Linked DNA regions of Oryctolagus cuniculus. The protein of the gene in region 2 purifies or fractionates together with the protein of the main gene of each other region. This does not show direct contact. Links are inferred from orthologs where the notes say so. Each region holds a gene or a part of one and is shown on either strand. Other genes may lie near its edges.

Region 1 (4,585 bases), on a different chromosome or scaffold from region 2:
CCTCCCTAGCCCAGCCTGCCAGGTGTTTGCCAAGCACATTCATTCATTAATTCATGAATTAATTCAACTCATTAACAAACTGATACTTATCGAGTGCCCTCTGCGCCAGACCCTGTGTTGTGAATGAATCGCGGAGCCCTCCAGGAAGGAAGACAAAACCCGAGCCGGCAACCTGCAGGTGCGTCAGGAAGCCAGCAGGGGGCACGAGAGAGCAACAGGGCTCACTTGACAGAGGTGGACAGCGAAGGGGAGGACAGCGAAGCTGGGATCTCATTTGTCTCTCCACCTCCCACGAAACGGTGTGGCGGGCCCGGATTTCCTTCCGGACGGGATTCCCGGGGCCTGAACTCTGATTTGGGTTCAGCTTCAGCCCCTGCAGCTGCAGAAGGGAAGGGAGGTGACGCATAGACGGGAGCAGGAGCAAGCCCGGGGGACGAGGACAGGACAGGTTCCACGCGCGTGCTGGCGACACCAGGGCTCCTTACCTCCTAGGTCGCAGGCTGGAGGAGTTCCAGGAGGGCGGCGCCAGCCCAGCTCAGCCGCACAGCTGAGGAAGAACCAGAAACCTCGACTCAGCCAATGCCACACAGCAGAGCCTGGCTGTGCCCGCCGGCCAAGGTGGCGAGCAGGTCAGGGGGTCCTTCCTCCCGAAGTCCCATCCGCTCGGGCACCACCTGGGGCATCTCAGGAGAGGGGTGTGCAGGGAGGGAGGTCAGCCACCATGGCAACCCGTAACCACTTCTCTTATGACCGTGTCCCGAAGAGGCAGGGCTGGCAGTGACACAAACGGTCACCATGACAACACCTCCACATCCCTACCTTAGCAGGCCCGGTTCCTAGGGTCACTGGAAGGGGGGGAATGCTGCCCTGTTACCATGGTAACCAGGGCTCGGCCTTGCCTGTTTCTGACCTCCCTGGGGATGGTCCAGGCCCTGTCACCATGGCAACTGGCCCTCCAGCATGGTCTCTCCTCTAAATAAAAACACCTGGTTGGTTTGGTCCAGGGACCTCCCACTGATGGGAAGGGGGAGATGGTTACCATGGTAATGCCAGCAGGGTGGCTACGGGGGAGGGGATGAAGAAGAGATGCTTCTCTCAAGAGATTAGTGTCCTTGGGGGCTTCGGTCTTTTTCACCTGGGTGCTACATGAGAGGGGGTTGCCATAGTAACTAAAGAAGGTAGGGGCAGGACCAGCAGGGGCTTAGGTTACCTTAGCAACCTCCTCCTGGTGCAGAGGGTTTGGGGCTCCATAACCATAATGGTGGGAGTGGGGGACGCTCCGTGCTGGAGAAAGGTTACCATGACAACCGGCCAAGCCGGTGCTCAGAAAGGATGCCCGTCCGCGCTTACACCACCCCTGGTGGTCGCCCTTGACTGTCCGGGGCACGGGTACGTGGGTCTAGAAAGAGTAAGACTTCCTTCGGGGTGACGTGGGAGGAAGGAGACAGAACACGACCCCTGCCCCCAGGCTCGTTCCTGCAAGGGCGACCGCCGCGCGCGGGGCCTGGGTCTCCCGGGCCCCCTCCTCGGCTCGCCCGTCCCCGCCCCCCAGCCCTGCGCGCACGCGCGCCTTCGGGGTCGCCCAGGGTGGGCGAGGCTCGCGCCCGGCCTCACGCTCGCCCCCGTCCCCCGGTTCCCCGCCGAGCGCGCGCGCAGGGGGGGGGGGGTTGGCGCGGCCGCGCAGGCGCGCGAGGCTGAGCGGGCGCGCGGGCCGGCCCCGGCGCCTCCATGATGGAGGAGCGAGCGGCCGCCGCAGTCGCCGCCGCCGCCTCCCCCTGCCGCCCGCTCGGCTCCGGCACGGGTCCCGGCCCGACTGGGGCGGCCCCGGCTTCTGCCCCTGCCCCCGGGCCTGGCCCGGCAGGGAAGGGAGGCGGCGGCGGAGGCAGCCCCGGGCCCACAGCGGGCCCGGAGCCCCTCAGCCTGCCGGGGATCCTGCACTTCATCCAGCACGAGTGGGCGCGCTTCGAGGCCGAGAAGGCCCGCTGGGAGGCCGAGCGCGCCGAGCTGCAGGTGAGCGCCACCCCGGGACCCCGGCCCCCCGCCCGGCCCGGCCCGGCCCGGCCTCACCCGCCGCCGCCGCCGCCGCCATCTTGGAGCAATGGCCGCCGGGACGGCCGGGGGGGGGGGCTGCGGGCGGGGACGCGACGGTCCCGGGGAGCGAGTGGGGGGCAGCCCGGGGCCGGGGGTCCTGAGGCGGCCGCGGCGCGGCGGCGGGGAGTGGAGGGGCCCAGGCGAGAATCGGCGCTCGGCCGGCGCCGGCGGGAAGAAAGGGGCGGAGGAGCGACCCCGGCTGAAGTGGGGAGTGGGAGTGCGCGCTCGGCCGGGGGCTCCGGCGGGAGGCGGCGCGCGGCCCGGGGGCGCCTCGGGGAGCTCCGGCGAGGAGTTGCGGAGGAAGACCTGAGCGGTGTCGCCGCTGCCCCAGGTCTCCCATCCCCTGCCCCCGTCCCCGACCAGGTGCAAGGTGCAAGGTGCAAGCCGAGTCCGGGTGGGATAGACGGGGCGCCTGGGGCACTTGGGACTCGGCTGCCTACGGGCCGGGAGCCCGGAGGAGCAGGGAGAGGAAGTCCGGGAGTCTCGGATGGGGTGTGTTTCGGACGTCTGGGCCAGGGGACTGACACGTGACTCCGGGGGTGGCACAGAGTTTCCGGGGGCCCCGGGATGAAGAGGGCCCCCTCCCCTCTTAAGGCATCTGGGGAGCCCCATCTGGGTGGCTGCCGAGTGCAGGGAAGGGGTCCTGGGGTGGAAGCCGGCACAGGGCAGGGGACTGCCCAGGGAGCGTGGGCGCGGGAGCTGGGCGGTGGAGGCGCAGCTTGGGGGTGTGGCGGCCATGGCAGGTGGGTGTAGGATGGCAGGTAGGGAGCCCTAAGCTGCAGTGGGGTGTCCGGCAGATGAGGACACCCGGAATGGGGACAAAGAAGAGGGATGGAGGGTACCCTCGCCGCTGCATCCGCGGGAGCAGTGTGGGGGCGGGCGGCGTGTTTGGGGAAGGACCTCCTGGCGGTTTGGCCAGGAGTGCGCCCCGGGATGAGGTGTGGCTGGGTTGGTGACCTTGAGGGGCGAGCCGCCTGTCCCCTGCACGGTGTCCCCAGGAGCCCGGAGGTGAGAGCCTGGCTGGGGTGTTCTCAGCAGAGCCCCCCGTCGGCACTGGAGCTGATAACCCCCGAGAACCGGGCAGGGAGGGAGTGCTGCAGCCAGGCTCCCTGGCCGTCTCAGTGGGAGCAGGGGCTGGGGCCGGAGGGGCGGAATCCTTCCGTGAGGGCTAGCCTTGTGTCCCGCTCTCTTCTCAACACCCCATTGTGTGGTCAGGGCCAGGGTTATCTCACTCAGCGACCGGGAGAGCTGCCGTTTACTGAGCGCCTATTATGTGCCAGCTCTGTTCTGTCACACTCGGCAGTTAGTCTAGTGATCAGAAGTGGAAACAGAGGCTTTGAGGGGGTGAGCGACAGAGCTGGTCTGTGCTCTCCAGCTCTCTGCCACAGTCTAGATGAGGACCCCAGGCCGGGGACGCATGGGGCCTCCCCAGGTCGCTGGAGCCGGGTCTCTGGCACCTCCCACCCGTGCGCCCTACCGTCTGGGAGACTCACCGCAGGAAGGGCTGTGTTGAGCCCCTCGCCTCGCAGCCGCTCTGGGGTCCGAGAGGAAGTGGGTGCGTTCCTTTGGCCGTGTGTGTAACGGGAGGGAGCACCCTGGATGTCCACTTTGTGACTTTGCACATGCCCATGTGTGGGATTCCCTCCTGTCCCACGGGGAGCGGCCGGAAGCGCCCGCTGCAGCCACTCAGCTTGACCCCTGCTGCTGGTGCTGAGACAGATCCCGGGTTTCCCCGCTTCAGAAGCGGCCGCAGTGGTGGCCTTCCGTGCCTCGTGCGTGTGCAGGGGCCGCGAGGGCTGCCAGGGGCGCTGCCCACGCGCACGCACCTGTGCTGGGGCACCTTCCCCGAGCTCCAGCGCTGAGCGTTCATTCCGTGCCCGCGGCGTGCGTGCCCAGGACCCGCAGTCTGCAGTCTGAGAGTAAGCGCGGGTGGGCTCGGCGCGGGCTCTGCGGGGCTGCCGCTGTTTCCGCCCGGCAGAAGCTTCCAGGCCGAAAGAGGAGGTTGGTGTGTGCGGGAGGCCGCCGAGGCCACCCCGCACTCACGGCTGAGTTCCCTGTGGTGTGGCTCTGGGTATTATTTATTTATTTATTTATTTTTAGATTTAATTTATTTGAGACCGTGTTACAGAGAGAGAGGTCTTCTATCTGCTGGTTCACTCCCCAGATGGCTACAACAGTTGGAGCTGAGCCAATCCGAAGCCAGGAGCTAAGAGCTTCTTCCAGGTCTCCCATGTGGGTGCAGGGGCCCAAGCACTTGGGCCATCCTCTGCTGCTTTCCCAGGCGCATTAGCAGGGAGCTGGATCGGAAGTGGAGCAGCCGGGACTCAAACCGGCGCCCAGGGCTTTAACCTGTTGTGCCACAGTGCCACAGCGCTGGCCCCTCTACCTGTGTTTTTGGCACCTCTGAGAGGGACACTCTTTGGGGAGGGGTCTGAAGCAGATATTCCTGTGGGAGATGCCGTGGTGAGATGCCCGAGGAGACGTGTGGGCTGGC
Region 2 (4,504 bases):
TGGGAGAAAGACCCAGAGATGGGAAAAGCAGATGAGTGATGACTTTTACTGTCACAGTTTTGAAGGGTAAAGGTCAAATCCTTTTTGGAAAGACACGCTCATTTCAGAATAATACAGTTGACAACACTTGCTAACATTTTCAAGGGTCTGATGCTAGCAGAGTTGTTCAGGAGAGTTTCTGATAGACTGTGCTTACTCTTCTAAGTCTTTGTACATGTGTCCAAATAAAGCCATTATTGCAAAAAGCCAGCCAACTTCTCAGGGAAGCAGTAAATGGCTTTTCTCTTTGCAGCCAACATGCAAATTTTGAAGCTCACTGAAAGGGTAGTCTCAGGCTTCACACAAGAGAAAATACAGGAAGACCGAGTCCTGCCAATGTAATTACCAGAGAGAAAGAGCTGACATGCCAGTACTAACAGCCATGGCCAAGGACACTGGTAAGAATTGCCATCATGGGGCTGGCGTTGTGGCATAGCAGGTTAAGCCACCACGTGCAATGCCGGCATCCCATTATGGCACTGATTGGAGTCCTGGCTTCTCCACTTCTGACCCAGATCCCTGCTAGTGTGCCTGGGAAAGCAGTGGAGAATGGCCCAAGTGCTTGAGTCCCTGCACTCATGAGGGAGACCGAGTTCCTGGCTCTTGACTTCAGCCTGGCCCAGCACCAGCCTTGCACCCATCTGGGGAGTGAACTAGTAGATGGGAGATCTCTTTCTCTCCCATCTCTCCCTCTCTCTCTTTCTGCAACTCTACTTTTCAAGGAAATAAAATAAACTGCATCATGAAGACAGGGAACATCAGAACTAATGGTCAAAGGCTAGTGTTCTTTAGGATTTCTTGGGATATTTCAGAGATTTTGGAGCAAGAGAGAGAGGGAAAGGGAGGGAAGGAGGAAGGCAATATCACTATGTTCATAGAATTGTATCTACATGTTACATTGACTGCTTATAACTAATTGAAAATCAAAATTAAAAAATAAAATTTTTAAAAACACATTTACTGTTCTCACTTTTATATATATAATACACACACACACACACACACATATATATATAATTTTCATTTGTTTCTCACTCGGCAACCATTCCTCCTGGTGGCTCTACCTTAGCAAGAATATCCAGATTCTTTTTTGTCTTCCTCTCTCCCTCCCCTCCTGCATCCCTCCCTCACTTCCTCTGTGTGTATCCAGATTCTAATGGTATGACTACAGCATTCCTGTGGCAGCCAAGCACCATCATATCTCCTACCAGGTTGCTCTGCACCCATGCGTGCCTCCCTGGGGTCAGTTCTCAACATAAGTCCAGAGTGATGCATGGTCACAGGAGTTCAAAAACTCACAGATGAATAGAAATTTTCTTAAAAGGCAGGGTGGAGATTCTGGCACTATGGTCATGGCGGAGGGGACGGCAGTGTTGAGGCGGAACAGGCCGGGCACCAAGGCGCAGGATTTCTATAATTGGCCTGATGAATCCTTTGATGAAATGGACAGTACACTTGCTGTTCAGCAGTATATTCAGCAGAACATAAGAGCAGATTGCTCCAATATTGATAAAATTCTTGAACCACCTGAAGGCCAAGATGAAGGTGTATGGAAGTATGAACATTTAAGGCAATTCTGTCTTGAGCTAAATGGACTTGCTGTCAAACTTCAGAGTGAATGCCATCCAGATACTTGTACTCAAATGACAGCAACTGAACAGTGGATTTTTCTGTGTGCAGCTCATAAAACTCCAAAAGAGTGTCCTGCTATAGACTATACTAGACACACGCTTGATGGTGCTGCATGTCTTCTGAATAGCAATAAATATTTTCCTAGCAGGGTTAGCATAAAGGAATCATCTGTAGCAAAACTAGGATCAGTATGCCGTAGGATTTATAGAATATTTTCGCATGCTTATTTTCATCACCGGCAGATATTTGATGAATATGAAAATGAAACCTTTTTGTGTCATCGGTTTACTAAATTTGTGATGAAATACAATTTGATGTCCAAGGATAACCTGATTGTACCAATTTTAGAAGAGGAAGTTCAGAATTCAGTTTCTGGAGAAAGTGAAGCATGAAGGGAATCGTACAGAAAAATGTACTGATCACATAATTAACGTTCATTATGTACTGTATATATCATTTTAGACACATCAATCATGTATTCATATTATAGCTTCTTTGTTTAGATTAGGTTTTTGTATGCTGTGTGTTGCCTTTTAAAAGGGGAAATACTTTTTAAGTTATTCATAAGCTGTATATTCACCGGTGTGGCACTCATGGTTTTTTAAATAAGATTAGTATTATCTGTTTATAATGCCTGTTAATAAAAGAATTTACAGTTTGGTAAAATTGCTGCTAAACAATCATTGGATTACAATCCTCATCAAATAAACCCATATATAAAAAGATGAGTAAGCTTGAGGTCTTGCACAAACCATTTACTAAAGAGATAGTAATGTTTTCCTTTCATTTTGTCCCTGAATTTAGATATTATAGAAAATTCTATAGAACATAAACTGTAAACTTTTCCAAAATGAGATAAAAGTACTTTAAAATTCTGTTTATAGTTTTTGATATGCATTTATGATTATGTGTATATCCAAATATAAATGCAAATGAAGCATTAGTAATTCTTATATAATCTTACTATGCTATATAAAGTATATTCTAGGCCAGCATACTTGGAAAGGATATACCTTTTTACAGCAGTGGACTGTTACATATAAGTTGATGCTAATGATAAGGCACATAAAAGGTATTCCCACTGGAAAACTGTTCACCCCCTTCTCACTTCCCATAATCCTGTCCCCAGATACTTTAGCTGAGAAGTCTTTCACCAGACTGTGACTTAGTGGTGACTTATACCTGTTTATACTCATGTTTGTATTAATTGCTTACAGATTTACCTCATATTAGCAATTATATTACACTACAAGAAAGATGTGTTGGCATAGGCTCTTTGTTTTGTGAAAATTTTCTAACTACTTGGAAGACAGACCTTAAAGCCATTTGATTCTTCCTCTCAGTAATATTAATCTTTTCATCTTACTCTAGGCAGCATTAGAGTTAAAGAAATATTGTAGTATTTATTTTGTACCCTTTCTCCACAAAATTTGAATTAAATACATATGTGAGGTTATTTGCAATAATTGATGCAAGGGTGTTGATGAATGGCCATACATTTTTTAGACTTTGTTGTAGCATATAAGAATTTGGGTGCAGATGTAACGATCTTATAATCTATTGAATGCAGTTTTTCATGGAGTACTAGAGAGGTCTTATTGCCAAATTGATTGTAATGAGGCACTAAGATAGGGTAGAAAAATTATACATGTAGTGAAGAAAATACTTAAACTCATCTCTAAGACATATTTAACAAATGTGAGAAAATTTTTCATTTAAAATAGTTATTTTGAAATGAAGATGAAAATGTATTCATCTTGATTGTCTTCAAAGAAATTATTTATACCATATTATGAGACAAGTATGCAAAGAAAAAAATATGAGAAATAGTAGCATACTGAGAGTGTGTGTATATAGTTTATGCCTTTCCAAGGCTGCCAATCGTTTTGGCTTTGAACAGTACTGTCCCAGCAGCCACAGTCCTTATTGTACCCCAACTCACAGCTATCTTTTAGAAGTTTTATGTTCACGGTGAAAGGAATGTTGAGTTTGAAATTATACGTTTTTTTTTTTTAATGTCACTATAAACTAATGGAATAGTAATTTTTAAGCAAACTTGCTGAATATTGAGAGAATAACCTACTAAGTTAAATTATAGATAGCAATGTAGCTCTTCTCTCTTGATGGTTTCTCATAATGGCTTTCTGTTACTTGACTATTTTCTTGGTGAACATTAGAACTAAAATAGTGACTGGAATTGGTTATCTGGCTAAGGATTTTGAAACACATTTTGAATAATATGACTTAGTGTTTAATGGGGAAATAAAATGATATTTTTTCGTATTCATTCCATCTTCCCTGTACTGTGTTTGGAATTGATCATAAAAGAAAAAAAAAAACTCCAAAAGAAAAAAAAAAAAAAAAAAAGGCAGGGTGGAGGGGGCAAGTGTTTAGTGCTGCAGTTATGTTGCCATTTGGGATGCCAGCATCCAGTACTGGAGTGCTTGCTTTGAATCCTAGTTACTCTGCTTCTGATCTGGCTTCCTGCTAATCTGCACCATGGGAACCAGCAGGTAATGGCTTAAGTACTTGGGTCCCTGCCACACACAGGGAAGATCTGGATGGAGTTCTCTCTGTCTCTCTCTCTCTCTGTGTCTCTCTCTGTCTGTCTCTCTCTTTTTCTTTCTCTCTCTCTGTGTGTGTGTGCCTTTCACATCAACAGTGGTTTTTTTTTCTATTTTCTACTTGTTGAATTCTTTACTTAGTGGAGAGTTAAGCTTGTGATTATAAAATAAACTGAAAGTATGTCATTGTGAAAATTAAAAGAAAAAGTAAGAAAGGAAGGAGGAGGGAGGCTGGGATTGTAGGTAGGAGGGAGGCTAGGAGGGAAGTA
Region 3 (4,589 bases), on a different chromosome or scaffold from region 2:
GGCTCACTAGGCTAATCCTCCGCCTAGCGGCGCCAGCACACCGGGTTCTAGTCCCGGTCGGGGCGCCGGATTCTGTCCCGGTTGCCCCTCTTCCAGGCCAGCTCTCTGCTGTGGCCAGGGAGTGCAGTGGAGGATGGCCCAGGTGCTTGGGCCCTGCACCCCATGGGAGACCAGGAAAAGCACCTGGCTCCTGGCTCCTGCCATCGGATCAGCGCGCTGCGCCGGCCACAGCGCGCCAGCCGCGGCGGCCATTGGAGGGTGAACCAACGGCAAAGGAAGACCTTTCTCTCTGTCTCTCTTTCTCTCTCACTGTCCACTCTGCCTGTCAAAAAAAAATAAAATAAAATAAAAAAATAAAAAAAATAAATAAAAAGAACAAGTAGGGGCAAAAAAGGTGTGTGTGTGGTAGTGACATAAGGTTGTTGGTGTTTTATTTTGATAAATATGGGCTTAAAAAATCTTTTTTGAAAAAATGCTTTTAAAAAAAGTTAATACCTCCATTAGGAAGGACAGAATCCACGAATAAACAATAATCACTAAAAAGGGTTTTCAAGCTTTCTGGAAAAATAATACAATTTACTTCATAACCTTGCCCCTGCCCTCCCTCCACAAATCAGAACAAAATTTAACAAAAAGTTTAATACTATATGTGATGCACTGATAATTTCCTATTATTCTGTGTCTTAAAAAAAGTGATGATCCCCTTTCACAGGTTGCCCCCTGCAGTATGAAAACGCCTGTTTTAAACTGTGTAATCCTTTAAACTTCACATATTGAATTAAAGTTTAGAAATTCAATTCAATGCCCTACATTTTCCTCATTTTGTCACAGTCCAGTCAAAACTTTCCCAAGGAGGAGATCTGACTAAACGATGTCTGAGGTGAACCCTTTTGGTAAGCCCACACTATTCTGTTTTCCCTTTCCACTTCGTGTATCCACACACTAAGCCACCAGAGGAAGGATCAACAGTGCCCCACAAATGCAGTGATGCACAGGGAGGCTCCCCTGACCCATGCCAACAGCAATCCTCTTCTAGCCATTCTCGAGGGACCTAGGGAGGAAAGAAAGCCTTGCCCCATGAGGACTGTCTTCCACAGGAGAGCAGAGAGGGGGAGGGAAAGCGGATCTGGCACTTGGGTAGCGCGCTGACGGGGGCTGCGCTGACAGGTAGCAGCAGCTCCCCTGCGCAGTGGCAGGTGGAGGGAAGCCAGCCTTTCGGTAGGCATGAGCCTGGACAGAGCGGCTCACGTCCGAGCGTGGAGAGCCCAGCTGCAGACAGCCGGCAGGTAGGAGTCTCGGGACACTGAGCTCATTGGCAAAAGCCAAGCGCTGTCAGAGCCTTTTCCTGAAGGATTTGCCAGAGGGGCCCTCTACCTCTTCCTCAGAAGGGCTTAGACAAGGCACAGAACACACTACTCTGAAATGATTTTTTTTTAATTTTTATTTATTTATTTGAATGCTCTGTGTTTCCACCCCTACTAGAATGTTAGCTCCACAAGGGCAAAGACTTCTTACTCACTGATGTTATCTCCTGCACCTAAAAGTGTCCCCCACACTGAATGAATGAATGACTCACCCCTCCCACTCCCCACCCCCCTCACACCTCTACAAAGAAAACATCTGAGCAAGAACAGTGTATCCATGGGGGAAGAAGGCACAGGGTGCCCAAAGACCAAGAAGACAAGAAGCAAGTTCTGCAAGAGACAGAACTTGGGGAGGATCATCTCACCTCCTCCAGTACTTTAAAAAAATGATTCTTTGTCTGCATCAAAATGGAAAGCATGCATGAAATCCTGGAAACAGGGAGGCGCTACTGAGATGGTAAACTGGCCCGCGATGTCAGACACCTGGCTTCCAGCACCAGCTCTGCCACTTGATGGTGATGGCGGCAGTAGGAAAGTCCTAAGCGCTACTAGGCACTGACGGATGCACCTTGCTGAACACTGCATACCGAATGATTGATCTCCCTTTGACTTTGTCACAACGTCCTGAATAAGCAGTGTTAGCCCCATTTCACGGATGCGGAAACTGGAGCCGGGAGAGGTTTGCTAATTTTCCCAAAGCCACACAGATGATAGATACATGGTAGGACTGCGATTCAAACCCCGGCCTGACTGACCCCAAAGCTCTGGCGCTCTGGGCCACTCCCTGCGCCAGCTGTCTGCTCTCGGGAAAGGCAGGGCCCCGAGGTCTGTGCTGACCCTCCAACATGCCCCGTGTGCGGGCTCTGCCCTGGGGTCGCAGAGGGAAGCCCGCTGGGCGACCCTGTGGGGGAGTGCTAAGAACTGGCTCCTTGCATCTAGTTGGGATTTCCTTTTTCAGAAGCGGAGGAAACGGGCCAGATATTCGCACTCCTATCTGTCTACTGGGGTAGTTCCATCCCCGCGGCCCCGCCGGAATTCTGTCTCGCTTCACCCCGACGCCCGCGGGAGGCGCTCCCTAGCCGGCCTCGGCCCACGCGCGGGCACGGGATCGGGATCGGGATCGGGAGGGGGAGCAAAGAGAAGAGGGGGTCCGCCGCAGCAGCCCGCAGCGGGAGCGCGGCCGCCCGCTCCCCGCCCCTCAGGCCGGTCCCTTACCCTCCCCTCCCCACTGGGATCTGAACCCCTGCCTCAGGGGGCTGCGGCGACCCAGTGAGAAGAATATTAGAAAGTGTCCGGTACGCTCGACACCGCGCTCCTTCGGCGCCCCCGCCGGCAGGGGTCAAAGGGTAAACGGCTCCCGGCCCGCAGCTGGACACCGGCGGAGAGGGGCCGGGACTGCAGAGCCCGGAGTCCGGCCGTGGGGAACCCCGCGGGCGCCTGCTCCCCTGAGCGCGCCAAGGGCTCCCGGGCCGAGGCCGAATCACCTCTGCGCCGCTTGCTACCCGGGAGTCTCCCAACCACCGCGCTCCGGGCTCCTCACCTCCGACTCCCGCCGCTGGCTTCGGAACGCCTCCCGGCCCTTGGCCGCTGCCTGCTTCCCTTTGCCGCCACCGTTGCTGTTGCCGTTAGCTGGCGGGGCGGCGGTCTCGGGGGCCGCGGGGTCCTCCATGCGGCTGGTCAGCGGCTCCCTTCAGCGGCTCGGCTCGCTCTGCCCGGAGCGACCTGGCTGCCGCGCGCCCGGAGCCAAGCCCCGCCCCCGTCGTCGCTATTGGCTACGGCTGCGCCCTACGGTCCCGCCTCGAGGTGCGATTGGCTGCTCGACCGGTCGGAGCGGGACGAGGAGGAGGTGGGGGCTCATTCAAGGGATTTTTTTTTTTTGAGTCCTGCGGCATTGCTGGTAGCCAGAGATCCCTACATTGGCTCCAGCTTCCACTTCCCGAACTCTTGCTTGGTGTCCCTCTGTCCTCACACCTCTCAAATCGCGATCTTTCCCCAGAGCTTCAGTCTCGGCCGCCTCCTCCCCTGCGCGCTCCCCTTTCCCATGGCCACAGACCTGGACCCTCTGCCATTAGCGGCGGAGACACCGCAGGAAACGCGAGACTCGCCTTCTCCAGAGCCGAGATGTCTGAGGAAAACGCACCCCCACCCCCGGAATGGGCGGCCGGCGTTGAGGGGTGGGACGGGGACGTTTGTATTTCACTGAAATTGAAGATTCCCTTGAGGAACCTCCTGGTCCTCTGCCCCTGTCAGCGGCGGCGGACACCGCGCTGCCCGGCCCCGAGGCCTTTCCTCCTTTCTCTAAGACCCCAGGGGCTCAGTGTTACCGGGGGGCTAAGGAGGCTCTGTGGTCTGCTCGGCTCTGAAGCTGTCTAGAAGGCGGCGAGGGGGCAGGAGTCAGGCAGTGCAGCGGGATTGCAGAACCACAGGCTGCGGGCGATGGGTGGGCCCTGACCGCAGCTCACAGCCCGGCGGCTTTAGGAAGCGATGGGGGGCCGGGGGTTAGAGCTGCGTGTTAAGCCCAGCGTGGCGCTAGGCGCTTTCCGAATAGCACCGGTGAGAATACCGCCCCCCACCCCGGACACCCCAGAAGCTACTCCGTGCAGTTCCCAAGGTGTCAGGCTGTCTTAGCTCAGCATCTGTTCTCTATCTGGAGGAGAGATTCCGGTTATCACCTCTCTGCTCCTGGCACAGGGTCCTGTTCAACCCACTTGAGCTGTGTTGGTGTCACGCCAATTCTGCCTGGACCCCGAGGCCTAGCATTTCTCACTAATATCCCCCAAAGCAACAGGGGCCCAAAGGACACCCCCTTCCCACATCTTAGGAACAACTCTGACCTCTCAGACTCTCCCTCCGCTAGTTAGCAGGTGACAGATCAAGGCAGGTTTGAGAGAGAGAGAGAGAGAGAAACTCCTTGAAGCTTTCTGGGTTTTTCTCTTGTTGCCCAACGTCTCCTGACTGTACCAAGACATCTGCCCTTTCCTCCCCCATTCCAATCTCTACCGCAAGCTGGATATAAGCTCCCAAAGAGTAAGAGCCATTTTCATTATCAATGTTTAACCATATTGTTATTTGGGGATGAAACCTTTTTTTTTTTTTTTATTGTGAGGGGGGGCTGTCCTGTGTATTGTAGGATGTTTAGCAAATCCCTGAGCTCTCCGTACTAGATGCCAGCAGTACCCTTCCTCTAATTGTGACAACCCAAAATGTCTCTAGATATTACAGAAC
Region 4 (3,910 bases), on a different chromosome or scaffold from region 2:
GGTGGAGCAGCGGGCAGCACACGGCACGGCTGCCGCACCGGGCTGGGGACGGGGAGAAGCTCCGTGCACAGCCTGAAGCCACAGGTAGAGGGAGGGGACGGCAAGGCAGGCCCCGGCTCTCACCTCTGTACACGCTCCACCAGGCGCACCACCAGCTTGTCCGAGATGCCAGGGCAGGCCTCCTCCGCCAGGCTGAAGGCGTTCTCCAGCTCCTCCAGGGCCCCCACGCCCCCGCCACTCTGCGAGTGCTTCTCTCTGAGCTGAGAGCACAGCCACGCCCGATGCCAGTGCTCAGCCAGAGGGCAGGGCAGGGGAGCCTTCCAGGAGCCGACCAGTGGCACCACACAAGGCCCTGTGACCCCACACTGCCCAGGGGGACCTACTGCTCCTTCTATCACAAGGCTCAAACCCCAAGGCTAGTGCTGTGGTATAGTAAAGCCTCCGCCTGCAGTGCCAGCATCCCATATGGGCGCCAGTTCAAGTCCCGGCTGCTCCACTTCTGATCCAGCTCGCTGCTATGGCCGGGAAAGCAGTAGCAGATGGCCCAAGTGCTTGGGCCCCTGCACCCACGTGGGAGACCTGGAAGAAGCTCCTGGCTCCAGATTGGCCCAGCTCCGGCCATTGCAGCCATTTGGGGAGTGAACCAGCAGATGAAAGACCTCTCTCTCACTCTCCCTCCCTCCCTCCCTCCCTCCCTCCCTCTGCCTCTCTGTAACTCTGCCTTTCAAATAAATCTTTTTTAAAAAAGAAAAAGGCTCCATCTCTCCTCTGCTTTCTAGGGAAGAGTCTGGGGCCTTGGTTCTGAGCGGGGACTAGAGGGCCTCCGTCCATGAGGTCTAGAAGCATGCAGCCCCGGGCATTCGGCCTCCCGGTGAGGAAGGTGCCTCTGACCCCAGCTTCCTCCTAATGCAGACCCTGGGAGGCAGTGGTGAGGGCCCAGGTGGGAGACCTGGCCTGAGCTCCCAGCCCCAGCACATCCTACACCCGGCCACTGCAGGTGTTTGGGGGAGTGAATCGGCAAACTCCCAAATGCGCCACACGGCCAGGCCTTAGCACCATGCCGCAACTGGACACAGGCTGGGGCTGGCAGCCACCCTCTGCCTGGACTGCAGGTGCTGCTATCACACCCGAGGGTGGCCGTGCTGTTCCTGGACCTCCACCCCAGCCCGGGGCAGGGGGCCCCCAGCTACATCACATCCAGGGACTGATGCAGACCCGGACACACATCACTTGGCCACCAGGAGTCGCCCCTGGGCCCCCTGTCTGGGATGCCCCTCCCACAACCACGCCTTCTCCCTACAGAAGGATCAGCTGGTGTCTACTCTTGGCGGAAAAGCATGACAGGAAACAAGTTGTTCATGTCAGCCTGGGATGCCAGAGGCCCTTGGCAGGCTGCAGTTCCCGTCCTTCCCCCCAGGAAGCCCCGCCCACAGGTCTAACAGGAGAGACCGCCAGGGGAACCACGTCACAGGCCCAGCCTGCCCTCACCTCTCCAAACACGGGCCGGACGAGCGTGGACAGACACTGGGACCTGGGCTGCCTCTTGACTGGCTCCGCTGGCTGTGAGGGGAAGCCAAGGCACAGGGCAGGTCACCCTCCACGTTTGACAGTGTGGAGTGGCACGGAAGACACCAGGAGTTGGCTCCACACTACAGTGGCCTGAGCTGAGGGCCCTGTTCACCAGTGCTGCTCGGTCAACTCTGAACAGGCCCCACCCAGGGCTCCACGCCTTCAGCACAGCACCACCCTGGGCCTCAGACCCCCACTCTGCCCTGAGCTCTTTGTCCAGGCCCCAGGTTGAGGGTCTTCACCCAGCCCATGTCTGCTGCCCACGGGAGCTGAGTGGGCCCAGCCTCCCAGGCCGGGCCAGGACGCACCTTGTGTGAGCCGTGCAGGGCGGTCCCCTTGTGCAGCTTGCTGTGCGGGCTTGGCCGGACCGTCGGGGGGAACGTCCAGACGGGGCCCTGCTCTCCATCCTCGGCCTCCCCGTCACTGGAAAGGACAAGGAGGGCGGGATCCCCCAGGGCCCCAGGACCCGTGGTTGAGTTTCTGGGAGGCTCTTGATGCTGGGGGAGCCCTGTCCAGGGTGCAGCACCCAGACGATGCCACGCGTCCCATCCTTTGTCCAGGGGACTAAACCTCGAGGGGGGACCCCACCCGTGCCGGAGAGCCCAGGGCCCCTACATGTCCGAGTCCTCGGAGCTGGACTCCTCGCCGTGACCCTCCGACTTCCAGCGCTTATAGCGGTCAATGAGCTCGGTGAGGAAGGAGGTCTTCTTGGTGTAGCGCGTGATGAACTTGTGCTTCAGCAGCTCCTTGGCCGTGGGCCGCTATCAGGGTGAGGACACCCGTCAGCAGACACCGCCACGCCTGGGCAGTGTGCACACACACGACAGGCTGGGCGCTGCCCCGGGGAGGCCACGCACACGACAGCTGGGCGCTGCCCTGGGGAGGCCACGCACACGACGGGCTGGGCGCTGCCCCGGGGAGGCCACGCACACGACAGCTGGGCGCTGCCCCGGGGAGGCCACACACGTGACAGGCTGGGCGCTACCCTGGGGAGGCCACACACGTGACAGGCTGGGCGCTGCCCTGGGGAGGCCACACACGTGACAGGCTGGGCGCTGCCCTGGGGAGGCCACGCACACGACAGGCTGGGCGCTGCCCCGGGGAAGCCACACACGTGACAGGCTGGGCGCTGCCCTGGGGAGGCCACACACGTGACAGGCTGGGCGCTGCCCTGGGGAGGCCACACATGTGACAGGCTGGGCGCTGCCCTGGGGAGGCCACACACATGACAGGCTGGGCGCTGCCCTGGGGAGGCCACGCACGTGACAGGCTGGGCGCTGCCCCAGGGGAGGCCACGCACACGACAGGCTGGGCGCTGCCCCGGGGAGGCCACACATGTGACAGGCTGGGCGCTACCCTGGGGAGGCCACACACGTGACAGGCTGGGCGCTGCCCTGGGGAGGCCACACATGTGACAGGCTGGGCGCTGCCCTGGGGAGGCCACACACGTGACAGGCTGGGCGCTGCCCCGGGGAGGCCACACATGTGACAGGCTGGGCGCTACCCTGGGGAGGCCACACACGTGACAGGCTGGGCGCTGCCCTGGGGAGGCCACACACGTGACAGGCTGGGCGCTGCCCTGGGGAGGCCACGCACACGACAGGCTGGGCGCTGCCCCAGGGAGGCCACACATGTGACAGGCTGGGTGCTGCCCTGGGGAGGCCACACATGTGACAGGCTGGGCGCTGCCCTGGGGAGGCCACACACGTGACAGGCTGGGCGCTGCCCTGGGGAGGCCACACATGTGACAGGCTGGGCGCTACCCTGGGGAGGCCACACACGTGACAGGCTGGGCGCTGCCCTGGGGAGGCCACACACGTGACAGGCTGGGTGCTGCCCCGGGGAGGCCACACACGTGACAGGCTGGGCGCTGCCCTGGGGAGGCCACGCACACGACAGGCTGGGCGCTGCCCCGGGGAAGCCACACACGTGACAGGCTGGGCGCTGCCCTGGGGAGGCCACACATGTGACAGGCTGGGCGCTACCCTGGGGAGGCCACACACGTGACAGGCTGGGCGCTGCCCTGGGGAGGCCACACACGTGACAGGCTGGGCGCTGCCCCGGGGAGGCCACACACGTGACAGGCTGGGCGCTGCCCCAGGGAGGCCACGCACACGACAGGATGGGCACCGAGGCTGGGAGTCACCTCTGAATCCTGCTGCCCCCTGGGTGAACACCCCCCCATTCTGGGAGCTGCGCAGGCCACAGCCTGCCTGGGTCAGGGGGTGAGGCGGGCCTTACGAAGCGGGGGTCCTTGTTGAGGCAGGCCTCCACGAACTCCTTGAAGGGCTTGCTGTGGGCACCCTCCAGCGTGGGTGGGTTGTTCTTGGGGATCAGGAAC
Region 5 (3,364 bases), on a different chromosome or scaffold from region 2:
CATCAGCAGAGAGCTGAATTGGAAGTATAGTAGCTGGGACTTGAACCTATGACCATATGGATGTCAGCATTGCAGGTGACTTAACCTGTGGTGCCAGAACACCGGCCCCCATTCAATTTTCTAACTATCCATTACCTTCATAGCATTAACCCACTATCTCTCTCACTATCCCCCAGTGTAGTGGGCCATTTGATCACTTTACCATTCCAATGAAATTTCACCATGACAGCTGGCATATGGCCTATGGTAATCTGTGTCTTGAATGGACTTGTGGGACACACTCAGGGCACTTAGGACATCAAGCCAAATCACGGGACTCAAAGTATAGTCTTGGATGGAGATAAAAATGTTTGCATTTGAGTTGCTTTTTAGTCAAATTCTCTGCAGAACATCAAACAGAAATTTGATGAATTTTAAGGTGACACACAACTCTCCATTAATGCATAGTAGATGAGCAAAATCCACTGGTATTACTGGGATTTGTTGCTTTTAGGACATATTGGAGAGACTGGAATTAATTCTGTACAGCAGTGCAAAAGAAACTTTACATCACACATAGAACTAACAAAAACCTCTTTTTAATCCTGTCATTCCCATGCAGCATGGTGCTTAATGTTATGGGAAAACATTGATGAGTTTAGTACTCATTATTCCAACTACTTTTTGATAAATCTAAATAATAAGATAACATGAGGTAACTTAGAAATTTGAAACGTGAGTAAACAGACAGGGGAATGAGTTGAGGAGTGAACCTAGTCCACCATCTCAATGCTGCTTTCGTGTTGTCTACACAGCATTATGAATGTAATAATTCTCAGGAGACAATAAAACTCATCTAAAACAAAAGTCAAATACTAGTACTAATAATGAAAGACACCCGAGTAAATAGTGGTTCTTCAGTATAAAATGGGAGTGTTAGATAAATAGAAATATAGTACCTAAGCACTGTGATGTGAATAATTCTATGGTATATTCTTCACACGGGGTAAACTGCCTGCATTGAGGATTTCCTACTAGGACAAAATTGAAAAATGTTGACTCATATTTAATAGAGGAAAAGCCACATTTTTTTAAAGCATTTAACCATGCACACGTGAGTGTGCACATACACAGCCCAAGCCCCTCAGCATTCTCTGAACAATGTGACCACTGCATTGCCCTGGGGGAGAACAGCTGACTTAGATTTTTCAAGTATGTTTCCTGGGGACTAACAATAGGTTCTCTCAAATTAAGAGTAAAGACACCAGGCACAAAGTGCCAACTCTTAGCACCAGAGAGACTTAAACCTTCACAGGATGTTACAAAGAAGAGAATCTGCCCATTAAGTTCTAAGCAGTTGCATTCCTTCTGTCAAGTGGGAAAAAAACCCAGGTTTATGCCAAATAGATTTAAAAAGTTAAATACTTTTAAAAATCCTCATAAGTGTATTTCACAATCCTATATAAAATAAAGTTCCTGTCTTACAATAAAATGCTTGAAGTTCTAGAGATGTGGAAAACAAAAATGAACTGAAAACAGAGCTTATAGAAAATGAAGGTCCCAGGATGAAAATCAGAAGTAGTTTCCTGCAGAAAGGAATGGTGAAATTCACTGTGTATTCTCACCAATACACCTAAAACTGTTTTGTGGACAGCCAATATTAACTGGTACTCTAAACTGTCACGTGGGAAGTTTAAATCAAGTCTGAGGCAAGATACTGAATGGACAATACTCCAATGGAAAGACAGCAACTTCCTTCCTTGATAAGACAATTTCCAGCCATCATTCAGAAGTTCAGTTATTTGATGGCTTGGGAAGCAGTGTCCACTGAATTCTCCTTTCTGACCTGAAGTGACTCGCTGCTGATAGACAATAATTCTCGTAGTTCCTTGTTTTCAAGCTGAAAAAAAAAAAGAGAACAGATACATGTTTATTTCCAGGATTTGTACTGCCAAATTGCATCAGGACAGATTGGTTTGGGCCAGGAAAAGAAAACTTATTTTCATTTTAAGGTTATAAGGAAATTCAAAACACACACACACACACACACACACACACGCTGAGACTTTCCTAAAAGACTACTTATTAATTTAACATTTACTGAGTACTAAAACTGCAAAGAAGAAAAAACACAAAGTCCCTTGAGGAATTTACCATTTGCCATACCCTTCATGGTTCCCACGCGTTTTAACTACTGTTTCTTCAATTTTCAATTTCTAATAATCTTTTCACTCTCTCCTTCCAGCTCTCCCACAGTTTTAGAAAATGAGAGGAGAAAGGTGGCAGGGAACTAGTGCTTGAGCATGCAGGGAGGTACCTGCCAGGTTCATTATGTATGCCATCTTACAGCACTCTGTAAGGGAGGTCTCTTTGCTGACATCCGTATTCTACTCAAGATAAAGATGCTGTAGTTCGTAAAACTCCAAAAACTTGTCCAAATCCAGGTCACCTGGATGTGGTATTGCTGACATCTGTGTCCAATGACCATTTTTTTTTTCTTTCTTAAAATAGTAAGTAAAACTGGTCCCACATTTCCTTAGGACTGTATCCATAACTGAGGTAAACCAGGAATAGTGCAGACAAGGGTGATTTGTTATTTAGCTAGCCACGAAGTCCTTCTTAGGACTTGCCACTCCCTTTGATTCCCAAACAGAGCTTACACTCTTCATCTTCACTCTCTCTACAGGACACTGAGACACCGCACTTCTTCAGCCTCGCCAAGGGGTCAGAGCCCACGGGCAACACACCTTCCACCATTCCAAGTGCTTCCCCGGGACTTCCATCCCTCTCCCAGCACTTGCTCTCATTTCATATCACTTCACTTCTAGTCTTATTCTTCCTGCTGGGTGCTGGGCAGAGAACTCTTTTTCTCTCTGGCAGTTCTTTTTCTTTTCCTTCCTTCTGTTTTTCTTTTTTAATTTAAATATTTATTTATTTATCAATCATTTGGTTCATTCCCCAAATGGCCACAGCAGCCAGAACTGGGTTGGGCTGAAGCCAGGAGCCTTTTCCAGGTCTCCCTCATGGGAGCAGGTGCACAAGTACGTGGGCCACCTTTCGCAGCTTTATCAGGTGCATTAGAAGGGAGCTGCAGGAGAAGTGGAGCAGCCGAGACTTGAACCAGTACCCAAAAGAGATAGCCAGTGTCATAGGCAGTGACTTAACCCACTGCACCACTGTGCCAGTCCAGCTCTCTGGTTTTTCTCAAAAGCCCATTATAACAACTTATAATAAGTAGGACACAAACCACCTACCAAAATGTTTTTCCTTAATATTTTTATGGGAGGCCGGCGCCGCGGCTCACTAGGCTAATCCTCCACCTTGCGGCGACGGCACACCAGGTTCTAGTCCCGGTCGAGGCGCCGGATTCTGTCCCGGTTGCCCC
Region 6 (3,910 bases), on a different chromosome or scaffold from region 2:
GATAGCCCAAGGACTTGGGTCCCTGCCACCCATGTGGAGACTTGGATGGAGTTCCTGGCTTTGTCCTGTCCAAACCCCAGCTCTTGGGGACATCTGGATGAGCCAACAGATGAAAGATCTCTTTCTCCCTCTCTGTGTGTGTCTGTTACTCTTCTTCTCAAATAAGTCTTTTAAAAAAAGAATCCACAGTATCATTAGAACTTTTTTTTTTTTTAATCCACTAACAGAAAACCCAGCCCACAATAGCTTGAACAATGAGATCTGTTGTTATTTGTAAGGAAAACTACCCTGAGGAAGGCGCAGCTCTCATTTTGCTTCCAAGGAAGCTGAGACGCAGACCGTTGCCTGAGGTCACACCACAGCACTGCGTTAGCTCCCAGGGATGACCCCAGGGCCCCTCCCCTGCTCTCTGCTCCACCTGTCTACACTTCTCAGGGGTGACCCAGGGCCCCTCCCCTGCTCTCTGATCCACCTGTCCACACTTCTCAGGGGTGACCCAGGGCCCCTCCCCTGCTCTCTGCTCCACCTGTCCACACTTCTCAGGGGTGACCCAGGGCCCCTCCCCTGCTCTCTGCTCCACCTGTCCACACTTCTCAGGGGTGACCCAGGGCCCCTCCCCTGCTCTCTGATCCATCTGTCTACACTTCTCAGGGGTGACCCAGGGCCCCTCCCCTGCTCTCTGCTCCACCTGTCTACACTTCTCAGGGGTGACCCAGGGCCCCTCCCCTGCTCTCTGCTCCACCTGTCTACACTTCTCAGGAGTGACCCAGGGCCCCTCCCCTGCTCTCTGCTCCACCTGTCTACACTTCTCAGGGGTGACCCAGGGCCCCTCCTCTGTTCTCTGCTCCACCTGTCTACACTTCTCAGGGGTGACCCAGGGCCCCTCCCCTGCTCTCTGCTCCACCTGTCTACACTTCTCAGGGGTGACCCAGGGCCCCTCCCCTGCTCTCTGCTCCACCTGTCTACACTTCTCAGGGGTGACCCAGGGCCCCTCCCCTGCTCTCTGCCCCACCTGTCTACACTTCTCAGGAGTGACCCAGGGCCCCTCCCCTGCTCTCTGCTCCACCTGTCTACACTTCTCAGGGGTGACCCCAGGGCCCCTCCCCTGCTCTCTACTCCACCTGTCTACACTTCTCAGGGGTGACCCAGGGCCCCTCCCCTGCTCTCTGCTCCACCTGTCTACACTTCTCAGGGGTGACCCAGGGCCCCTCCCCTGTTCTCTGATCCACCTGTCTGCACTTCTCAGGGTGACCCCAGGGCCCCTCCCCTGCTATCTGACCCCCATGCCTTTAACTGACTTGACCTCTCACACTCCCCATCTCCCTTCTCCTGTGCAGCTCCAGAAAGCAGTGGGGCCTGAGATCACCAAGACAGACCTGGTCCCTGCCTTCCAGAACTTGATGAAGGACTGTGAGGCCGAGGTGAGGGCCGCAGCCTCCCACAAGGTCAAAGGTTGGTGCTGGCGACCAGAACACAGCAAGTCGGGTGGGTATCTGAGGGACTGCACGTGGACTAGGCCATTGGGTCTCATCCCACCCTCCCCCTTCCTTCTCCCCACCCAGAGTTCTGTGAAAATCTCTCCACCGACTGTCGGGAGAATGTGATCATGACCCAGATTTTGCCCTGCATCAAGGTAACGGAGAGTTGGGGACGAATGGAGCAGGTCTGAGCCTACCAAGAAGAGGGGGTGGTGTCAGGAGGCTTGGGGACATCCAGAAGCAAACTGGGTTCCAGCCTTTGGGACCAGGCAGTCCTTGGTTTGAAGCCACTGAGGTCTTGATTGCAGGCAAAATCTGAGGCTTGGGGTTGACTTGGAGGTCTCGGAGTCCCCTTACCCATAGAACTGTTGGATTGGGGTGAGGGCTGCTAGCAGCAGGAACCATCAAACTCTGAGTCAGTGGGACATTTGAGGAACTGAATGTCCCCCAGAGTCAGCTCACCCTGCTCTGAGTGACAGGGCAAGAGCAAGCTGTTGTCTGAGGCTTCCTACAAGTTGATGTGCGTTTGGCGTGTGGTGCTTCAGAGATCGCCCTGACCCCTTCTTCCTCGCAGGAGCTGGTGTCAGACGCCAACCAGCACGTCAAGTCAGCGCTGGCCTCGGTCATCATGGGCCTCTCGCCCATCCTGGGCAAGGACAACACCATCGAGCACCTCCTGCCCCTCTTCCTGGCCCAGCTGAAGGATGAGGTAAGGGTGCAGGCGGGACCTCGGCTCCGGGTTTGCAGAAGGGACGGGAGGGCCAGCTGCTTGCTCACATCAGCTGGGATTCTCCTAGAATCGCAACAGACCCCCAGAGCTTTGCTCAGCTGATGAGTGTACAACCGTGTACACAGAGGTCACTCACTTGTCAGCATTATTTTGTGTCCTCAGCTCTGTGCTGCTCCTTATCTTGGGCATTAGGAATATGAGAAAAAGAATGAAATATTCTTACTATGTATTTTAAAAAAGAATAAAAATCTGAAGAAAAGAATCCTCAGAGACTAGCAGTGGAGCGTGCCGATGGATGGTTGCAGGGTTCCATGAAGGTGCTGTAGGTGCTGTGAGGACCACAGTGCCGTACTCGGGGTCTCGGGATTCAGTGTCCTAAATAAAACCGAAGATTGCTCTTCACAGCAGTCCAGGTGGCCCTACACTAGTGGATTAACCCTGGCAACCTCAAGTCCCTGTGTCTGCGGTGACTGCCCTAGTGTTTTACTGTCCCCCAGGCCCCAGGAAAGGCAAAGGCAGCACACAGTGGCCGGCCACTCCTCTTGAGAACAAGGCCCATCACGGCAGCTTATACCCCACATATCCCATGGGCCAGAGTTGGTCGCATGACCACACCTAGCTGTTCGGTTGGCCTGGACTACAGAGCATGAGAGGGTGCTGGGTGGTGACTGGGGAGTTTGGGCTTGAATTTAGGCAAGAAGAGGGGCTAGAACGGATCAGTGTTAGAAAGGACCACTGAGACTAAGAAGAGGTTGAGGCCGGCGCCGCAGCTTACTGGGCTAATCCTCCGCCTTGCGGCGCCGGCACACCAGGTTCTAGTCCCGGTCGGGGCGCCGGATTCTGTCCCAGTTGCCCCTCTTCCAGGCCAGCTCTCTGCTGTGGCCCGGGAGTGCAGTGGAGGATGGCCCAAGTCCTTTGGGCCCTGCACCCCATGGGAGACCAGGATAAGTACCTGGCTCCTGCCATTGGATCAGCGTGGTGCGCCAACGGCAGCGTGCCGGCCGCGGCGGCCATTGGAGGGTGAACCAACGGCAAAGGAAGATGTTTCTCTCTGTCTCTCTCTCTCACTGTCCACTCTGCCTGTCAAAAAATAAAAATAAATAAATAAATAAATAAATAAATAAAATGAAAAAATAAAATAAAAAAGAAGAGGTTGAAGTAAGGCTGCCGTAGCATTCTAGGTGGAGGAGGAAGGCTGCCGACTAGCTTATTTGACTTCCCTGTTTTTATTTTTTATTTGCGAGAGAGCTGTCATATCCACTGGCTCACTCCCCAGTGCTCGCAGTAGCCAGTATCAGGCCTGACCAGAGTCAGGAATTCAGTACAGATCTCCCAGATGGGTGGCAGGAACCCAGTTAGTTAAGCTATCACCCCAGCCTTGCAGGGTCCGCTTTAGCAGGAAGTTGGAGTCAGGAACCAAAGGTGAGCATCAGGCTCGGGCACTTTGATCCAGGATGTGGGGCTTTTAATCACCAGGTCACACGCCTGTCCCTACGGACCGTCTTCACCTCTGATGGAACACGTTGATGAGATTGTCCAGTTGTAGCCTTTGACACATACCCTGTGGCAGTCACTCACACAGAACCCTCCTGTCCTAGTGCCCTGAAGTGCGACTGAACATCATCTCCAACCTGGACTGCGTGAACGAGGTGATCGGCATCCGGCAGCTGTCCCAGTCCCTGCTGCCTGCCATCGTGGAGCT
Region 7 (4,368 bases), on a different chromosome or scaffold from region 2:
CCGGGCCAGTGGGCCTCGCCCAGCAGGTTGTCTTGGACGAAGGCTCTTCAGTTCCGCCACCGGCTGCTGGCGATGCACTCCTGGGTAAGTCAGGGCGCTTGGGAGTGGCAGGGTTGAAGGCGACCAGAACCAGCTCTTGCCTTGTCCTTCACGGCTAACTGTCCTTGGTAAAGCTTTTCCTGGAGTCATCATAATCGCTATTCCCAACAATTTTCAGGCAGCACCATGGGCTCCGTCATGAAGTTAGGGCCCCGTACCTGTTCGGACGACCCCTTCATATCCCAGGCCCTGCGTGTGGCACACAGTTGGCCCTGCAAGGAGCCCAGTATTTCTGCAAATGTAGGGGAAACGGGATGCGAGGTTGCGCGAACCCCGGAGGCATTCAGGACCAGGGCAAGGCCGGTCGGATCGCAGGGTGTCTGCGCTTTCATTTCTAGGATCGTGGCCGGCACGCGGCCAGGGCTCTCGGACCAGGAGGAAGGTGCACGCACACCGGGAGCGCAAGGCGACGATGAGCGAGGTCGAGGGGGCCAAGGACCCGGGGCCCGCCGTCAGAGACGCCCAGGCCCGAGGACAGACGTGTGCTGGGAGTCAGGTGCCCTGCGCGGCTCCACGCGACAGGTGTACCTCCCCCGCCCACGACCGACCTAATTACACGGTGCCGGCCGCGCCCATTCCTGCTCCCACAGATGCGGGAGTCCCACGCAATTCCCGCGCTCCTGCACCCTGGAGAAGCCATGGGGTCGCGACTCTCGCCTCCGTGACCTGGCTGCCAAGCAGCACCCCAGAGGCCTTCCCAAGGAAACACGTTTCCGGCTGACGGGAGACCCCCACACCCCCGCGTCCCCGACTGCGCCTGCGCCGGGCCCGCGCTCGCGCCTCTCGGGGCGTAGTGCTCCGGGCCGAGCCCGTTCGCCGCTGCGGGCACTGCGCATGCTCGGACTCGGGTCTTCCCCCCCACCCCCAACCCCCAGGCCTCTCCTTTCTAAGAGACCACGCCCTAAACGCGAAGGCGCCTCGGTCTCCAGCCGGCTACATCGCGCCTGCGCTGTGGCCCCTCGTTTGCGCCCCCTCTCCGGCCGTGCGCCCGACCCGGGTCCGCCGTGTGGCTGCGCAGCTTGCGTCCGGGCTCTTTCTCCGTCGGCTGCCCGCCGCCTCCTGACGCCGCGTGACGTCACCACGCCGGGCAGCCGCCATTACAGAGGCGAGCTCCGGAGCTAGGGCGAGCGGAGGAGGCGCAGCGGCCGGCGGCCGAGCACTGCGGGGAGAGCCAGCGGCCAGCGCCGGCGCCGAGCGACCGCCAGCGGCCAAGGAAGTACCCCCCGGGAGCCGGCGGCGGCGTGTGCGTGTGGCCCGTGTGCGGGCGGCGGCGCGGGAGCAGCGCAGAGCGGCAGCCGGTTGGGGCGGGTGGCATCATGGACGAGAAGGTGTTCACCAAGGAGCTGGACCAGTGGATCGAGCAGCTGAACGAGTGCAAGCAGCTGTCCGAGTCCCAGGTCAAGAGCCTCTGCGAGAAGGTGAGCTGCGCCCGGCCTGCCGGGGCCGCCGAGGAGGCGGTGTCCGTGAGGAGGGTGCAACATGGCGGAGGCCGCCGGCCGGGCCGAGCCTCCCCGACCGGCGCCCGGCCTGGCCTGGCCGGCGGCGGCTCCCGGACGACCCGACGCCCCCTGCCTCCCGCGCACGGATTGGCTGTCGTCGCCGCCTAAAATGGCGCCGTTCACCCGACGCCGGGTCTTGGGAGCCTGCGGGCCCGGGCTCCAGGCGGGGTGGCAGGAGGAGCGGAGACCCCGTGGCCAGGCCCGGGGACGGCTTGGGGCCCCCGGGTCGGCGGGCTGGGGTGCGTGGCCCGGGAGTGGGAGTGGGCCTCTGTGGTGCGCTGAGGGGCGTCTCGGAGCCCGCGCTGCCCGCAGCAGCCCCCAGAAGCAGGCTTGAGGGCCTGAGGCCCCGGCGTGACCGCCACCCGGGGGAGGGATAGTGTCCACCCGGCCCAGGCTCTGCCCCCGGAGACCTCTTGGAGGAGTGTCTTTAAGCATTTTTTTAAAAAAAAGCCTGTAACCTAATTTCTGCGAAGGTCATGGTAGTTCTAAGGGGACAGAGTATAACTTCTTTCTCAGAGTTGGAAGAAATGGGGAATTCGGTGAGTCATACTACATAAGGAGCTTCTGGGTTGGAAATCCAGTCAGTGTAACCTATGATTTATATGCTGACTCAAGCCGGGCAGTGAGGAACCCTTCTCTTGAGCCTAACATACTTGGCGTTTTGCCATTTGTTTTTAAAAATGAGCAACGTAACCTGGAAACGCGGCGAATTTTGTGCTCTCTTCGTTGAAAAAGTTCCATGCTTGTCCGTTTTGGGCTGCAAATGGTAGTAATACTTGCTAGTGAGCACTTTATCCCAGACGTTGCGCTTCAGGTTGAAATATCGTAAAGCGTTGGGAGTGGAATATTGTCCACGAAATAACATTGAATTTTGTGTTTTCTGTTACCAAAATCTGTTTTGGTTTTCCCCAGGGATTGGGGAAACGGAGTATCCATTAGCTGTACGTAATTTTTAATTTTTGTTAAGTTTCCCACAGTACACAAAATACTGATCTCCTTACGAACATATTAAATTTACCCTTTGCACAATTAACAGCATTTCATTTTAGCACAGAATTGTGGAGTACTGCCAGCATTGTGTGTTAGTGAAAAGAGTTTTTGGAGAACTGTTAACGCTGACTTGTTTGTGGTTCCATGTGAACATTAGGTTCATGTAGTGGAGGTTTCCAGACAAATCATGCTGTAAACTATTGGAATTTAAGTTAGATTTATTTCTCCCCGAGCCTGAACAGAGCACTAATAGTGGGGCAAGCACATCATCTGCTGGAGCTGGATCCTACGGCTCCAGTGTGTTGAATCTCCAGTTTCTTGACTTGAAATTCTCTCAGATCATATGAGGCTAGTCTTTACTTTTTAAAGATTTAGAAATAGGACTTTGAAAATTACTTAATGTGTATTGCCAGGTCTTAATTTCTAGCTTAATATAAATGATGACTTGACTGACTGCAGATTCAGAACTTTACGGACTGCACTTTGAGTCAGTGATTGGATGACTAGTCATTTGTGAAGAAAACACTGAGAAGGGAGACGGGGATGTAGTTGGAAGACCAGCAGTTGGGAGTTGGTCCTCTTCCTGCTCCTAAGTGAGTGATTTTGGTTAACTTCGGGGCAGACACTCAGATAGTCCTTGATTTCCTGTCTATAGAAGAAGGAATTAAAATGTATTCTGGGAGCTTTGGAGATTATGCAGTTTCATCTGAAATTAGTTCTTTGTGTTTAAAATTTTAGCACTTATTGAATATCCAAGATTGCATATGTTTATGGGAGCATGAAAAGCAGCAAAAAATAGTGATGTAAGGTTGATAGTTCAGAAAGTTCATGAAAGATGCCTATTACGAAAAAACTGCATGGATGGCAAAACTTTTGCATCCAAATAAACTTATAATTCTTTTCTCTATAAACTTTTTTTAAATTTATTTTATTTGAAAGATTTACAGAGAAGGAGAGCTCTTCCATCCACTGGTTCACTCCCCAAATGGCTGCAACAGCTGGAGCTGAACCAGTCCGAAGCCAGGAGCCAGGAGCTTCAGGGTCCCCCATGTGAGTTCAGGATCCCAAGCACTTGAGCCATCTTCCATTGCTTTCCCAGGGCATAGCAGAGAGCTGCATCAGAAGTAGAGCAGCTGGGACTCAAACTGGTGCCCATATGATGCTGGTGCTGCAAGGCCGGGGCTTTAACCTGTTGTGCCACAGTGCTGACCCCATGAATTTTTTTGAAGTGTCCTTGTATTGTCAAGGAGCTTTGAGTTGAGTTGGAAAGAAAGGTATGAATGGGTAGGAGCAGCAGGAGATGGAGCCTGCAAGTAGTGGGGGTTTTTCAGACTATAGAAGGTAATAGAGGGTGCCAAGGTGAGAGGGCTGATGCTTCATGGACTCCGTGTTCATGGTTTTTCCATGTCTTTGTGGAACATAGTTGTGACGTTAATTGACTTAGATCTCCATTGTTGTGTCCATGATTTCAGGTTTGAGATTCAGAAAGATGGAAATATTTATAGCTAGGTATTATGTAAAGGTTTCCATAGAATAGATCATTTTTGGTGGATGTCACTTCCACCCCACTTTTTATTCACCCATTGAGAGGCAGAGAGAGCACTCATTTACTGGTTCACTCCAAATGCCCACAGGCGCCAGAGCTGGGCCAGGCCAAAGCCTAGAACTTAGCATTCAGTCAGGGTCTTCCATGTGGAATACCAGGACCCAAGTATTTGGGACATCACTGCTCTGTCGTAGGGTGTGTATTAGCAGGAAGCTGGATTGGAAGCAGAGGAGC

What was found.
Region 1: the proteins of MOB-like protein phocein (region 2) and STRN4 purify together in Homo sapiens (affinity purification with mass spectrometry; 3 studies listed by BioGRID and IntAct, with this or other methods). This does not show direct contact. The link is inferred for Oryctolagus cuniculus from reciprocal best matches to the Homo sapiens genes MOB4 and STRN4.
Region 3: the proteins of MOB-like protein phocein (region 2) and STRIP2 purify together in Homo sapiens (affinity purification with mass spectrometry; 3 studies listed by BioGRID and IntAct, with this or other methods). This does not show direct contact. The link is inferred for Oryctolagus cuniculus from reciprocal best matches to the Homo sapiens genes MOB4 and STRIP2.
Region 4: the proteins of MOB-like protein phocein (region 2) and STK25 purify together in Homo sapiens (affinity purification with mass spectrometry; 4 studies listed by BioGRID and IntAct, with this or other methods). This does not show direct contact. The link is inferred for Oryctolagus cuniculus from reciprocal best matches to the Homo sapiens genes MOB4 and STK25.
Region 5: the proteins of MOB-like protein phocein (region 2) and SIKE1 purify together in Homo sapiens (affinity purification with mass spectrometry; 4 studies listed by BioGRID and IntAct, with this or other methods). This does not show direct contact. The link is inferred for Oryctolagus cuniculus from reciprocal best matches to the Homo sapiens genes MOB4 and SIKE1.
Region 6: the proteins of MOB-like protein phocein (region 2) and PPP2R1A purify together in Homo sapiens (affinity purification with mass spectrometry; 9 studies listed by BioGRID and IntAct, with this or other methods). This does not show direct contact. The link is inferred for Oryctolagus cuniculus from reciprocal best matches to the Homo sapiens genes MOB4 and PPP2R1A.
Region 7: the proteins of MOB-like protein phocein (region 2) and PPP2CA purify together in Homo sapiens (co-immunoprecipitation; 7 studies listed by BioGRID and IntAct, with this or other methods). This does not show direct contact. The link is inferred for Oryctolagus cuniculus from reciprocal best matches to the Homo sapiens genes MOB4 and PPP2CA.

The regions. Positions count from the first base shown.
Region 1 is NC_091449.1:10,642,977-10,647,561, forward strand, and holds the start of STRN4 (striatin-4), read left to right. Parts: upstream 1-1,685; 5' UTR 1,686-1,728; coding exon 1,729-2,010; intron 2,011-2,067; exon of another isoform or gene 2,068-2,124; intron 2,125-4,585. Other genes in the region: ribitol 5-phosphate transferase FKRP, read right to left, coding at 486-547, 1,211-1,302. UniProt on the Homo sapiens protein: Calmodulin-binding scaffolding protein which is the center of the striatin-interacting phosphatase and kinase (STRIPAK) complexes.
Region 2 is NC_091440.1:69,971,219-69,975,722, reverse strand, and holds MOB-like protein phocein, read left to right. Parts: upstream 1-1,375; 5' UTR 1,376-1,385; coding exon 1,386-2,063; 3' UTR 2,064-3,958; downstream 3,959-4,504.
Region 3 is NC_091434.1:165,636,334-165,640,922, reverse strand, and holds the start of STRIP2 (striatin-interacting protein 2), read right to left. Parts: upstream 3,115-4,589; 5' UTR 3,034-3,114; coding exon 2,905-3,033; intron 1-2,904. UniProt on the Homo sapiens protein: Plays a role in the regulation of cell morphology and cytoskeletal organization. Required in the control of cell shape. Calmodulin-binding scaffolding protein which is the center of the striatin-interacting phosphatase and kinase (STRIPAK) complexes.
Region 4 is NC_091434.1:286,595-290,504, reverse strand, and holds part of STK25 (serine/threonine-protein kinase 25), read right to left. Parts: coding exon 3,811-3,910; intron 2,331-3,810; coding exon 2,185-2,330; intron 1,993-2,184; coding exon 1,878-1,992; intron 1,561-1,877; coding exon 1,489-1,560; intron 261-1,488; coding exon 124-260; intron 1-123. UniProt on the Homo sapiens protein: Oxidant stress-activated serine/threonine kinase that may play a role in the response to environmental stress.
Region 5 is NC_091438.1:55,569,404-55,572,767, reverse strand, and holds the end of SIKE1 (suppressor of IKBKE 1), read right to left. Parts: intron 1,880-3,364; coding exon 1,778-1,879; 3' UTR 563-1,777; downstream 1-562.
Region 6 is NC_091449.1:6,440,928-6,444,837, forward strand, and holds part of PPP2R1A (serine/threonine-protein phosphatase 2A 65 kDa regulatory subunit A alpha isoform), read left to right. Parts: intron 1-1,337; coding exon 1,338-1,452; coding exon of another isoform or gene 1,453-1,485; intron 1,486-1,562; coding exon 1,563-1,633; intron 1,634-2,023; coding exon of another isoform or gene 2,024-2,052; coding exon 2,053-2,187; intron 2,188-3,806; coding exon 3,807-3,910. UniProt on the Homo sapiens protein: The PR65 subunit of protein phosphatase 2A serves as a scaffolding molecule to coordinate the assembly of the catalytic subunit and a variable regulatory B subunit.
Region 7 is NC_091437.1:22,518,839-22,523,206, reverse strand, and holds the start of PPP2CA (serine/threonine-protein phosphatase 2A catalytic subunit alpha isoform), read left to right. Parts: upstream 1-1,281; 5' UTR 1,282-1,415; coding exon 1,416-1,517; intron 1,518-4,368. UniProt on the Homo sapiens protein: Catalytic subunit of protein phosphatase 2A (PP2A), a serine/threonine phosphatase involved in the regulation of a wide variety of enzymes, signal transduction pathways, and cellular events.